Cricetulus griseus: one gene and its partners. The protein of the gene in region 3 purifies or fractionates together with the protein of the main gene of each other region. This does not show direct contact. Links are inferred from orthologs where the notes say so. Each region holds a gene or a part of one and is shown on either strand. Other genes may lie near its edges.

Region 1 (3,649 bases), on a different chromosome or scaffold from region 3:
GTACTCAGCTTCTAACACTCCATACACAACCTAACTAAATACACAACATCAAGGTCACACTTCACTACAGCTGGGCAACACCAGCCCTTAGCACAGGCAATCTGAGACAACAGAAATTAAAATGCAACTTGAAGGGGCTCTGCATGTCCTGAGGGTTTTCCCAAACCCAGGGTTTCTCTCTAAGAATTAATCCTAAAAATAGTTCATGCATCTTCAAAATCCAAAACTCTCAAACTATGCAAAAGGGATAGAAAAGTAACTCTACACATTTTAAACTCATGATTAAAAGGAATTACAATGCAACAGTAAACACTTGCCTGGCAGTGCTAATTTTACTATTAACAGTTCAGATTGTCATTAAACCCAAACAAGCTAGACGTATGTATTTACCTGTTCTTCAACAGTCCACAGCTGGTTGAATGTTTCAGGTTTGGTGTCATCACACAGGCGACCTCTTATCATCTGCATATAAAAGAAGGCTTTTATAAATGGAAAACAGCAAGGATATAGCTAAAGAACACACAAGGAATGTTTCACAATTTCCAAAATATCTTTGCGTATTTTTAACACATATACCACCTATTTACTGATTAATTTTTTTTATATTCTTATATTTCATTTGGTTTTAAACTCTTCACAATCCTCAAATAAACAACAAGAAGTGTGGGTTCAAAACTGAAAAGTAACAATTCCTACAGAGACAAAGCCATACCTCAAATCCTGGTCACACTCCACAGTGCCACTGGTACTGGGCAAGGTACCCACAATGCCCATTTAAAACCCATAAAGACTCTACAATATAACCAATACCAATTACATTTTATAAGAGGCTGCAACTTGAAGACCAGAACATACACAACAACTGAGGTGTCAGAGCTAGCAGTTTGGACGCAGATTTAGGTTTCTGGTTAACTGGAAAGTTTACGTTCCCATTATTTTTCAGTGAACAGCTCTCCATTTTAAGAACACAATTCAACAGAACGTTAAATACTTTCATGCTTTCACGCATTTCATACCACTCACCTGAGGGCGACTATGGGAGCCTTCTGGACCGTCACTCAAAGGCAACACGGAGTAAGAGAGGGGCTCTCCATCCTTCTTAAGATCTAAAGGACTTTTTGGTCTAGCAGGCAAGCCTACTAAAAATAAAATCACATACAGAATTATTCAAGCAAGACACTGCAAGACATCTTCCTCATGAAATTCTCACCGTGTGAGTTCTTACCTTTATCGAAAACTAACTTAACTCTTCTAGAATGTCTTTTGCGATTTTTAAATTCTCTTTCGAAGTTCCCAAGGCTGTTGGTATACTGGTCCCACACAATCTCAGGCAACTGAACAACTCTCTGTGGGTATGGAAGCCCTATATCGGCCTGGGAAAAAAGACAAAATACAAATATCAGAGTGCCAATCTACATTTAACTCAAGGGGATAATCAGTAGAATAAAATGCAAGAGACACACTGTAAACACTATTCCTAGTGCTAAATATGAACTATGTATAAAGAAATACAGGATCGCATCACTAGCAACTCTACACAGGAACACCAAACCCCCACCAGTTCTACTAACAAGCACCCTGAGTGTGCGGAATGCAACACGTGAGACACATTTTGGCATTTAGCCTCAAGGTTGTGGCTTATCTGTAACACAGTAAAAATGAATTCACAATCTAAAGTCTTTTTCTTTCGGGCACTGTTGGGCTTTGTACAAAACATGTGCACCCAGCAGCACATAGCTACATCCCTTGCTTCAATTATGACACCTTAGAAATGAAACTTCCAAATTAAATCTAGGACAAACAAGTCTTCCTAAGCAACACAAACTTTGTTTCTGTATTGAGTATCTGGGTTTAATCTTTGTAAAAAGTTAAGATGCTCACTAACACATCTGTTTCAGAATTTTAAAAGAATTCTAAATTTAACCTGGAAATGAAAAACAAGCAAACAGCCAAATGAATATAAATCTAGTAAGTATGCCTAGATGTATGTTTTTGCTCACCAGAAAAGAGATTAAAGTTAATACATTTATTATTTATTTCTTTTTATTTTTTATTTTTTGGTTTTTCGAGACAGGGTTTCTCTGTGGCTTTGGAGGCTGTCCTGGCATTTGCTCTGGAGATCAGGCTGGCCTCGAACTCACAGAGATCCGCCTGCCTTTGCCTCCCCAGTGCTGGGATTAAAGGCGTGCGCCACCAACGCCCGGCTTTGTTATTTATTTCTCTAACAGTTTTAATTTGCCAAAAATTGCCATCTTAAGAACAATGTCTTTGTGCTCAAGCAAACTTTAATACTGATAAAAGATGGACTTTTTTTTCCCATTTATTTATTTTAATGTCTTAAGCTTTTGTTGTTTAGGGTACTTTTTGTTTTCTTAACCAGTGTCTCTTGTAGCGACCTCAAATCTGATTAGTAGGTTTGAGGGCGACCTTCATCAACTCAGGACCCTCACTCGTAAGGCAATTTTGGATTCTAAATCTGCACCACCACTCTGGACCGAGGGGATCCCTATTTCAGAGAGAAAGTATAATACAGCTCTGAAACCAGTTTTGAATAATCGACGGGTAGATTATGCCTGTACTATGGAATGTAGCGTGGTCTGAGACCAGACAAAGAACAGTGTGTTGATTAATCACACTTCTCAGTTACCCCGGGTTCACTACATAGAGAAGCACTCACAGATTTGGTTTTAATGTTTTCACACAATGCTAATGTTGAGGCTTTCAAATATGTGAAGCAAGGTTCAGAGGCAGTAGAGCACTTTTGTACACAGGGTCTTGGTTCCATCCCTTGGTTGTACCAGAGAACAACACCCCCACACAATGTACTTATGTGTTTAATGCTGATTAGTTAGGGGGCTCCCTAATTTGAGGCACTTAGAGTATATTTGAATGGCTCACTGTTAAAATTTGTTTCAAATAAAAAGGAAAACTAGCTAGTTTCACACAAAGGAAAAAAAGAAACCTCTTTCAAAATTAAATGAAATTCATAGTTTCTCTTCATAGACTTGGTTATACTCTAAACATGTATAAAATAAATTTTTGTGTCGTCTCTGTATTATAAACATTTGCTTTTCCTTTCAGTAGCAAATGCAACCCAAACAAAAGCAGTTAATAATTAATAAGTCCTCTGCACCAGGCCTCAGAGCAGCAATAATCCTGAAGTCCCGGAAGCAGGAGGAAGTGACAAGTGGAGAACAGACAAAGAATGTGAAAAATTGCTCTGTTCACACAGACAATGAGAGAGCTCAGCTCTTTCCATCTGGGCAAAAGTCACTGTGTGTTGGACAGGGAAAGAAGATGTCGCTTTGGTAACAGGATTAAACTGGAAGGGGGTGAAGTTAAATATTTTTTTTGTTTTGTTTTGTTTCTGTTTTGGGGGGGGGGGGACAGGTTTTCTCTGTATAACAGTCCTGGCTGTTGTGGAACTTGCTATGTAGAACAAGCTGGCCCCAAACTCAGAGAGATCCATCGCTGTGATTAAGGTGTGTGCCACCACCACCTGGCAAGTTAAATATTCTTAAAGCACAGACTCACAGAAAAAGAAACATAATTATCTTAAATTACCAGGTACACTCCAATACATGTTTAAAAGTATCAAAGTACATTTTTGGGTTACCTTCTTCTGGAGTTTTTCCACAAATCCAATAGG
Region 2 (4,126 bases), about 23 Mb from region 3:
TTTTAGAAAAATGGAGTAAAACCGGCCCACGCTAGAAAGGCTATGCATGCGCCGTCTATCTGCAAAACTCACTGCTTCTTCCCTTGTGTTCTGTGTGTCTACATGTGGCTACCTTTCAATTCCTTATTTCAAGGCCTCAATCCATTCTGCTGCTTCTGTCTGACACTCTCCTTCTTTGTTGTTCTCCCCAAATCTCGATCAATCACTTACCCCCTTCAGATCATAGTTCAGATGTCACTTGCTAAGGAAGCTCTTCCCAGATTGTGTAAATGTCCCCATCATTTGTTTTTAAAGCAACTCTGAGGCAGGAGCATGGATAGTTCAAAGCCCACTTGAACTATGAAGTGAGTTCAAGGTTACCCTAACAACTCAGACTATCTCAAAATAAAATGTAAAAAGAAGACTGGAGCTGAAGTGATGGTGCACACCCTTAATCCCAGCATTCAGAAAGCAAGGCAGATACATCTCTGAGTTCGAGACCAGCCTGGTCTACAAGAGCTAGTTCCAGGACAGCCTCCAAAGCCACAGAGAAACCCTGTCTCGACAAACCAAAAAAAAAAAAAAAAGAAAGAAAGAAAGAAAAGAAAAACTAAAACACACACACAAAAAGAAAAGAAAAGAAGTAAAGAAGCCAGGCATTGGTGGCTCACGCCTTTAATCCCAGCACTCAGGAGGCAGAGGTAGGCGGATCTCTGAGTTCCAGGCCAGCCTGGTCTACAGAGCGAGTTCTAAGACAACCTCCAAAGCAATACAGAGAAACCCTGTCTCAAAAAAAAAAAAAAGAAAGAAAAAAAAATTAAAGAAAGAAGACTGAAGATACAACTCAGTTGTAGAAATATTTCCGAGCATGTGTGAGCCCTAGGTTCAAACAGTCTGTAACTACACAGCTGCATAGCTTTTGTGTATGAGTTTACAGAAGACAACCTTGGGTAACATACCCCCTGAGGAGCTGTCCACTTTATTTTTTCAGACAGGGTCTCGCACTGGAACCTGAGGTCCACAGATTAGCTTAGGCTGGCTGGTCAGCAAGCTCCAGGAACCCACCACCTATCTTGGCATGCTGGGGCGGGCTGCAAGCTCACTACACACAGCTTTTCGCCATCATTCCCACTCTTTTTAAAGCGGCACTGGGGACCAGCGTGTGGTCCCTAGTAGACTGTAAGCTGCACACCAGCAAAGATCATGGTCTGTGTGCTCACCTTTGCATCCCAAGCGACCAGCAATGTCAGCACATATTATGCCTTCATTAACACCTGCTGAAAAAAGAAAGAGCAGGTATTCATTTGTTTTGGAGACAAAGTCTCTCTATTTAGCCCTGGAACTCTCTCTGTAGATCAGGCTAGCCTCAAACTTCCTGCCTCTGCCTCCCCAATGCTGGGATTAAACATGTGCACCACTACTCCTGGCCTAGAATAACTATTTTTCTTTTTTTTTTCTTTAACTTATTTTTATGTGCACTGGTGTTTTGCCTGTGTTATGTCTGTGTGAGGTGACAGATCCCCTATAACTGGAGTTATAGACAGTTGTGAGCTGCCATGTGGGTGCTGGGAATCAAACCTGGGTCATCTGCAAGAGCAGCCAGTGCTCTTAACTGCTGAGCCATCTCTTCAGCCCAGCTATTTCTCTGCCGAATTTTAAAAAATATGTCTTATTTATTTTGTTTGGTTTTTTAAAGATTTATTATTTTATGAATGAGTGCTCTGTCTGCATGTACACCTTTATGCCAGAAGAGCGCATCAGAATCCCACTACAGATGGTTGTGAGCCACTACGTGGTTGCTGGGAATTGAACTCAGAATCTCTGGAAGAGCAGCAGTGCTCGTAACCTCTGAGTCATCTCTCCAGCCCCCAGCTCTAAGCACATAAATGTTTGTGGCTTCCAAGTAGCAACACTCTATGACCTCCTCCTATCCTCGCTAACAAGATAGATAGTGTACATTTTTGTCTAGTTTACAAAGCCACGAGAGATAGCTCAGAAAGGTTACCTAGATTGTCCAAGACAAGCCAGCAAGCATTGAGTAATTAGATGTCAGGGACTCAAACCCTTGTTTTAAATTAACTCAGATGCTGGGCAGTGGCGGCGCACGCCTTTGATTCCAGCACTCGGGAGGCATAGGCGGGGGGGATCTGTGAGTTCGAGACCAGACTGGTCTCAAGAGTGAGCTCCAGGACAGCCTCCAAAGCCACAGAGAAAACCTGTCTCGAAAAACCAAAATATACTCAGGATGCTATATATATACCAGGAGCAGGCTTATGTTTGAACTAGGCCTGGCTTTGTAACCCAAGTCCCACCTTTAGATTCACCACTGGATGGGATGAGTACCCTTCAGTTTTCCCATCTGTAAAATGGGAGCACTCAGTCGTGAGCATTTGAAAAGCCAGTAGGGAGTTGCTCTATTATGTTCCCCTATTGAGACCTCAAAGTCCTGACTGTGACCAAGGTCTTGCACAGCCTCAGTTCCCAGTGCTGACCAGGAAGCGTGAGAACCGGCCTCCTCGGGCCTGTGGGTTGCGCATCCTCCGACCCACCTTCATCCCAGATCCAGAGGGCGTGGGGTGGAGTGGGGAGGTCAAGGGTTACGGAACTTGTGTCACGTGCTCGGTGAGGCGGGCGGGCGGGCCCCCGCGGGCCCCGAGGCTGGTGAGCAGCCCAGCACGGACGCGAAGAAGCCTGCTCACCTGCGGACTCCGGCGATGCGAGGACCCTGCCTACCGGGGAGGCGGCGGAGGCGGCGGCGGCGGCGGCGGCTTCCACTCACCGGCTCTCGCTAATTCCCTCTCTCGGAGCCCAGGCTCCGCCCTCAGTACGCGGAGCCAATCGGCAGCTGTCTCCTGAGCTTCCCGCCCACCAGCGGCCGTCCCGCCTCAGGATTGGTCAGTGTGAATATGTGGAGAAGGCACCGAGGCGTCGTTGGTCACGTGAATAGCGCTTCTTAAAGCAGCAGCTCTTGTTTGGCTAGCAGGTGCTGTGCCCGGGGTTGCCTGGAGTTAACACCTTCTCCATAGAGACAGTCCTCCATCCCTTGAGTCGGCTATCCCAGAGTATACAAGTTTTTTGGATCACAGTAAAGCTTTCGGTACATGACTTAGCTTAATGCCCCCAACAAGCCGGGCGTTGGTGGCACACGCCTTTAATCCCAGCACTCGGGGGGCAGAGGCAGGTGGATCTCTGTGAGTACAAGACCAGCTTAGTCTACAGAGCGAGTGCCAGGATAGGCTCCAAAGCTACACAGAGAAACCCTGTCTCGAAAATAAATAATAATAATAATAATAATAATAATAATAATAATAATAATGCCCCCAACAGCAACTGCTACTTTTTCCCCTTCCCAGAAGAATAGATGGGGGCCCAGGAGATGTTTCCCCGTGGACAGAAGGGACCTCTGGCCGGGTGTGGTGGTGCACACCTTCAATCTCAGCACTGAGGAAGCAAAGGCAGGAGGATTTTTGTTTGTTCGAGACCAGCCTGGTCTACACAGAGAGTCTGAAGCCAGCTTTGGGGGTGGGAGGCACATCGTGAGAAGCAAAAATCAGAAGGTACAGCCAGGCGATAGTTGCACACGCCTTTAATCCCAGCACTCTGTGAGTTCGAGGCCAGCATGGTCTACAGAGTGAGTCCCAGGAAAGGAAGGGAAGAGGGAGGGGAGCCCTGACTACACTTTATCTTGCATAACCTGATTATCATACAGAGAATTCCACCGTCTAATGAGCAGATTTACACTTTCACAAGTTTGACCCCTAATAGCACATGCCTGCATCGGACAGATGGCCAGTCCCAACTGCAGGCATCCCACTCTGTAAAAGTTAGTCCTCAACAATGTCATGTCACCTAAGCAAGATGGAGCTCCCTCCCACAAGTGTCCCACCTGTCAGACCTAAGAAATTTCCATTAAACCCTGTAAAGAGCTAACACTGGGAACACATTATGTCAGGTGCAATCTTTGAATTCCCACACCTCCAGCGTTGGTGGTGTCTCCTGTTAAATCTTCCATTTCTGTCAGTCTGGTCTTTGGTGAATACATTCAGTCAGTGTGTCATTGGCTTGCCAACATGGTCCCCCGCACAGAAGTATCCTCTCACTCCCCAGATACCTAGTGCTTGCAAAGATCAAATTGCTTTATTTCAAC
Region 3 (3,649 bases):
CATGTCTAGGGAGGCAAAGGCAGGACAATCTCTGTGAGTTGGAGGCCAGCCTGGTCTACATAGTGAATTCCAGAACAATAAGAGCTACATTATGGGACTCTGTTTCAAAAATAAAAAAATTAAGAAAGTACTTGGAATGGTACCAGGTAGTGCCAGGTAGTGGTCCTTGTTACCATTACAGGCTGCAATAGTCGGCATATTCCCATGGCAGGGGAGGGTCAGAACAGTTGATAGAATCTGTCATTCTCTCCACATAATCCCACTGTATGCTCACAATCCAGCAGGGAGTTATTACCCTGATTTTAATGACAAAGCAACGGGGTTTCAAGTGAATTGACTACCAGGTCATGTGACTAGGAAATGGTATGCAGGGACACAACACTGCTTTACTGTCATCTACAAGGCAATAAGATACAGGAGAGGAATGGATAAAGAAGGAAGAGCTTGGGAAGGTTCAAGCAATGGGAGAGGCAGAGTAGGAGGACCCTCTTCACAGACAGAAGGCAGCTGGGGCTGTGGCCTCGGGAATATGTGGTCCAGCACCAGACGTCAGGGAACAGAGCAGCAACAGCCCTGTGGGCATTACTCACTTGCACTCAGCCTCCGCATCAGCCTTGGCGGTTGTGTAGAGGCCACGCAACTTTGTCCGGTAATAAGGAGAAACTATAAACACAAGCATGAGGAGACATGAGCAAGAGGAGGTGGCAGCATGCAACCCTGATTCCAGGACATCAGAATCAGCTTGAAGAGGCTCAGAGGTCAAGGTCTGAGCTTTATCACTTCAAACATGCTCCCAGGAAGTTAGTAAGATGATTCTGTCTGTAAAATACTTGCCTTGAAAGTACCAGGAACCAAGCTCTATCACCAGAACCTAAGTAAAAAAAAAAAAAAGCCAGGCATCCCAGATGTGTAGCATTTGCTTTAATCTCGGCACTTGCAGAGGCAGGTGGATATCTATAAACTGAAAGCCAGCCTGGCCCACACAGAGTTCTAGGACAGTCAGGGTTATCCAGCGAATGAATGGTGAGAAACAAAACATGAGGTTGGCCTTTGCACACATACACATGTGCATACACATATCCCAACATACATTAAAAAAAAAAGTGTTCCCTGTTCAACAGGGCCACATTTCCATATGGTAAAGACGCCACCACCATTCTTAAAAATTGCTTTCTAACCTGCCTCCTGTCCACATCATTACCAAGGAGAAGCAAGTACTGTCCAAAGCTATTCTGAGTTAGAAAGCCCCAGGCACAGGGGGTGACCTGCCTTGGGGCATATGCAGAGGCCATGGGGGAACTCTGCTCCCGAAAAGCCCCATGCCTATGAGCTCTAAGGTAAGGGTGAGTTTTCCTGCTTCAAGGCTGCCTTTCCAGTCCGAGCTGAGAGACTCTGAGGTCCTTTAGTGCAAGGCCAACTGTCTTTAGTCCTGTCACTTTAAGTCATTCAGACAAAGGAACAATGACCCTAAAGAGCAACTTTGGGATATGCAGATACAAGCAAAACTCCCTTTGAAGACACAGTAAGGCCATGCTCCTGGCCTCAGCCATTCCCACTTCCTTTCTCTTCTGCCCTCAGGTACTCACTCTTGTTCTCAGTCTGCATTCGCTCGTGGGTTTTCTGGATGTTCACCAAGTTGTGCTCACTCCTCGAGCGTTCTTCCTAGAAAGATAAGGTCAAGAGACCATGAAGTAGACCATTTACCCTAACAAAAGCTCCCTGTTTACATGAAGACCTCCTCTGTGTAATTCTGTCCTGTGGGTTTTGACAGACGCTTCGGTTACATACCTATCATTACAGTATCATACACAAGAGTCCTACCTCCCCAGACATCCTCCCTGCTCCTCTAACTCTTGCATCCATCCCAACTATCCCAAGGCTCTGCCAATGACATCATTTTACTTTTACTTTCTCTAGTTTCTCCTTTCTGGAGTTTGTCACACAGTTGGAATGAAGCATATATGTAACCCACTGGGATCTTTCATTAAGCAAATATTCGCTAGTATTTTACAATTATTTTTCAGGGTATACCAACTAGTATGTCCCAGAGAGGAATTCCTGGGAATTGCTCCCTACTGGTTCACTAGACCATGTGGTCCAGCAGAACCACCAGTGTGTAACTGACTATAAATATCAATAAGCCAGACGTGGTGGCACACACCTTTAATACCAACACTCAGGAGGCAGATAGGTCTCTAAGAGTTCTTGGCCACCCTGGTTTACATAGCAAGTTCCAGGTCAACCAGAGCTACATAGAGAGACCCTGCCTCAAAAAAGCAAAACAACACACACACACACACACACACACTTCAATGAGCAAATGCTTGGAACGGTAATAATGGACAAAACAGAGCAATGGCATGCTCAACATGCCACACGGCATGCTACAGGCACAAACACATATCATGCTTTATTTGTGAATGAAAGAAAAGCTATTTTAATATATAGGAGGAAATGAGATTTAGACCATTGGCTGCTATTCCAGCGGACCCAGGTTCTAGTCCTAGCACCCATGTGGCAGCTCACAACTGTCTATAACTAGAGCTTCAGGGGGTCTGACAACCCCTTCTGGCCTCTAGAGGCACCAAGTATGCATGTAGTGAACAAACATACATGTAGGCACTCACCCATAATCATAAAATAAAATTAGTCTGGAAAAAAAAGTAGAGGCATCACCTGGCAGATTCAATTCCTTGGTACTACATGCAGGACAAATAAACATACATGTGACTATCACCTTTTAGTCCTAGAATGAGGCACTGTACTTGTTCTGGTTTGACACTTTACTATTCCTATGCTATCAGTATACATCTGCAACATGAGTGGCAGAGTAAACACTGACCCACAGACAGAGAGGGCTTTGGTGATGCCTATGCCTTGTGGGACAAGACAAATTCATGATGAATGAGGAGCTGCATTCAGAGGGAAAGTATTTGTTAATTAGAATAAGAAGATCAACGTGAGTTCTCTTACAGGAAAAAGGCCAATGGAAGTCAATCTAGAAATAGTGAGGGCCTCTAGAGTCAGGCAGGACCAGCAAAAATGCTAAAACCATCCATCATGGGGAAAGAAAGGCCTTAAACACTGACCCAACAGAGCAGAGCTATTTTGAACAGACAGAGGCCAGAGAAGGCAAAAGACAAAGGCCTTCCACCCTCAATGCTATAGCCCATAGGTACACTTATGGTACTCTTGTGGACCTCCAGGGTACCTGTAATACAGTGATGCATCATGACTACACCTGGACCAGTAACAGAGAAACCTAAGCTACATCCTGAAGCAATGTCAATACCAATAAGAATTATTCTAAACACCACCTGCGTCTGTCTCAAGGGAAGGTGGTAGACTTTAGTATGTAGTGCCAAGGACTGAGGCAAGGTGACTGGGTTTGTTTTCAACTGAGCTGCAGCCCAGAAATAGGCAGCCACAGGCCAGGGTAGTAATCTGGGCAGCAGGGGATTAACAGGGTTAACTCAGCAGGCTGGGTTATCTAAACCCCACACATTTCAAAGTGCTTTATCCTTTGAGTAGATCCTGGAAGTTAAATCTTTTGTTTGTTTGTTTTTGTTCTTGTTTTTGTTTTTGTTTTTTCGAGACAGGGTTTCTCTCTGTAGCTTTGGAGCCAGTCCTGGCACTTGCTCTGGAGACC

Evidence for each region.
Region 1: the proteins of Sgf29 (region 3) and Zzz3 purify together in Homo sapiens (affinity purification with mass spectrometry; 7 studies listed by BioGRID and IntAct, counting the BioPlex papers as one, with this or other methods). This does not show direct contact. The link is inferred for Cricetulus griseus from reciprocal best matches to the Homo sapiens genes SGF29 and ZZZ3.
Region 2: the proteins of Sgf29 (region 3) and Taf6l purify together in Homo sapiens (affinity purification with mass spectrometry; 4 studies listed by BioGRID and IntAct, counting the BioPlex papers as one, with this or other methods). This does not show direct contact. The link is inferred for Cricetulus griseus from reciprocal best matches to the Homo sapiens genes SGF29 and TAF6L.

The regions. Positions count from the first base shown.
Region 1 is NW_023276806.1:6,892,529-6,896,177, forward strand, and holds part of Zzz3 (ZZ-type zinc finger-containing protein 3), read right to left. Parts: coding exon 3,617-3,649; intron 1,374-3,616; coding exon 1,226-1,373; intron 1,140-1,225; coding exon 1,024-1,139; intron 463-1,023; coding exon 391-462; intron 1-390.
Region 2 is NC_048596.1:51,305,789-51,309,914, reverse strand, and holds the start of Taf6l (TAF6-like RNA polymerase II p300/CBP-associated factor-associated factor 65 kDa subunit 6L), read right to left. Parts: upstream 2,827-4,126; 5' UTR 2,679-2,826; intron 2,585-2,678; exon of another isoform or gene 2,529-2,584; intron 1,257-2,528; 5' UTR 1,208-1,256; coding exon 1,200-1,207; intron 1-1,199. UniProt on the Homo sapiens protein: Functions as a component of the PCAF complex. The PCAF complex is capable of efficiently acetylating histones in a nucleosomal context. The PCAF complex could be considered as the human version of the yeast SAGA complex.
Region 3 is NC_048596.1:74,084,148-74,087,796, forward strand, and holds part of Sgf29 (SAGA-associated factor 29), read right to left. Parts: intron 1,663-3,649; coding exon 1,587-1,662; intron 664-1,586; coding exon 591-663; intron 1-590. UniProt on the Homo sapiens protein: Chromatin reader component of some histone acetyltransferase (HAT) SAGA-type complexes like the TFTC-HAT, ATAC or STAGA complexes.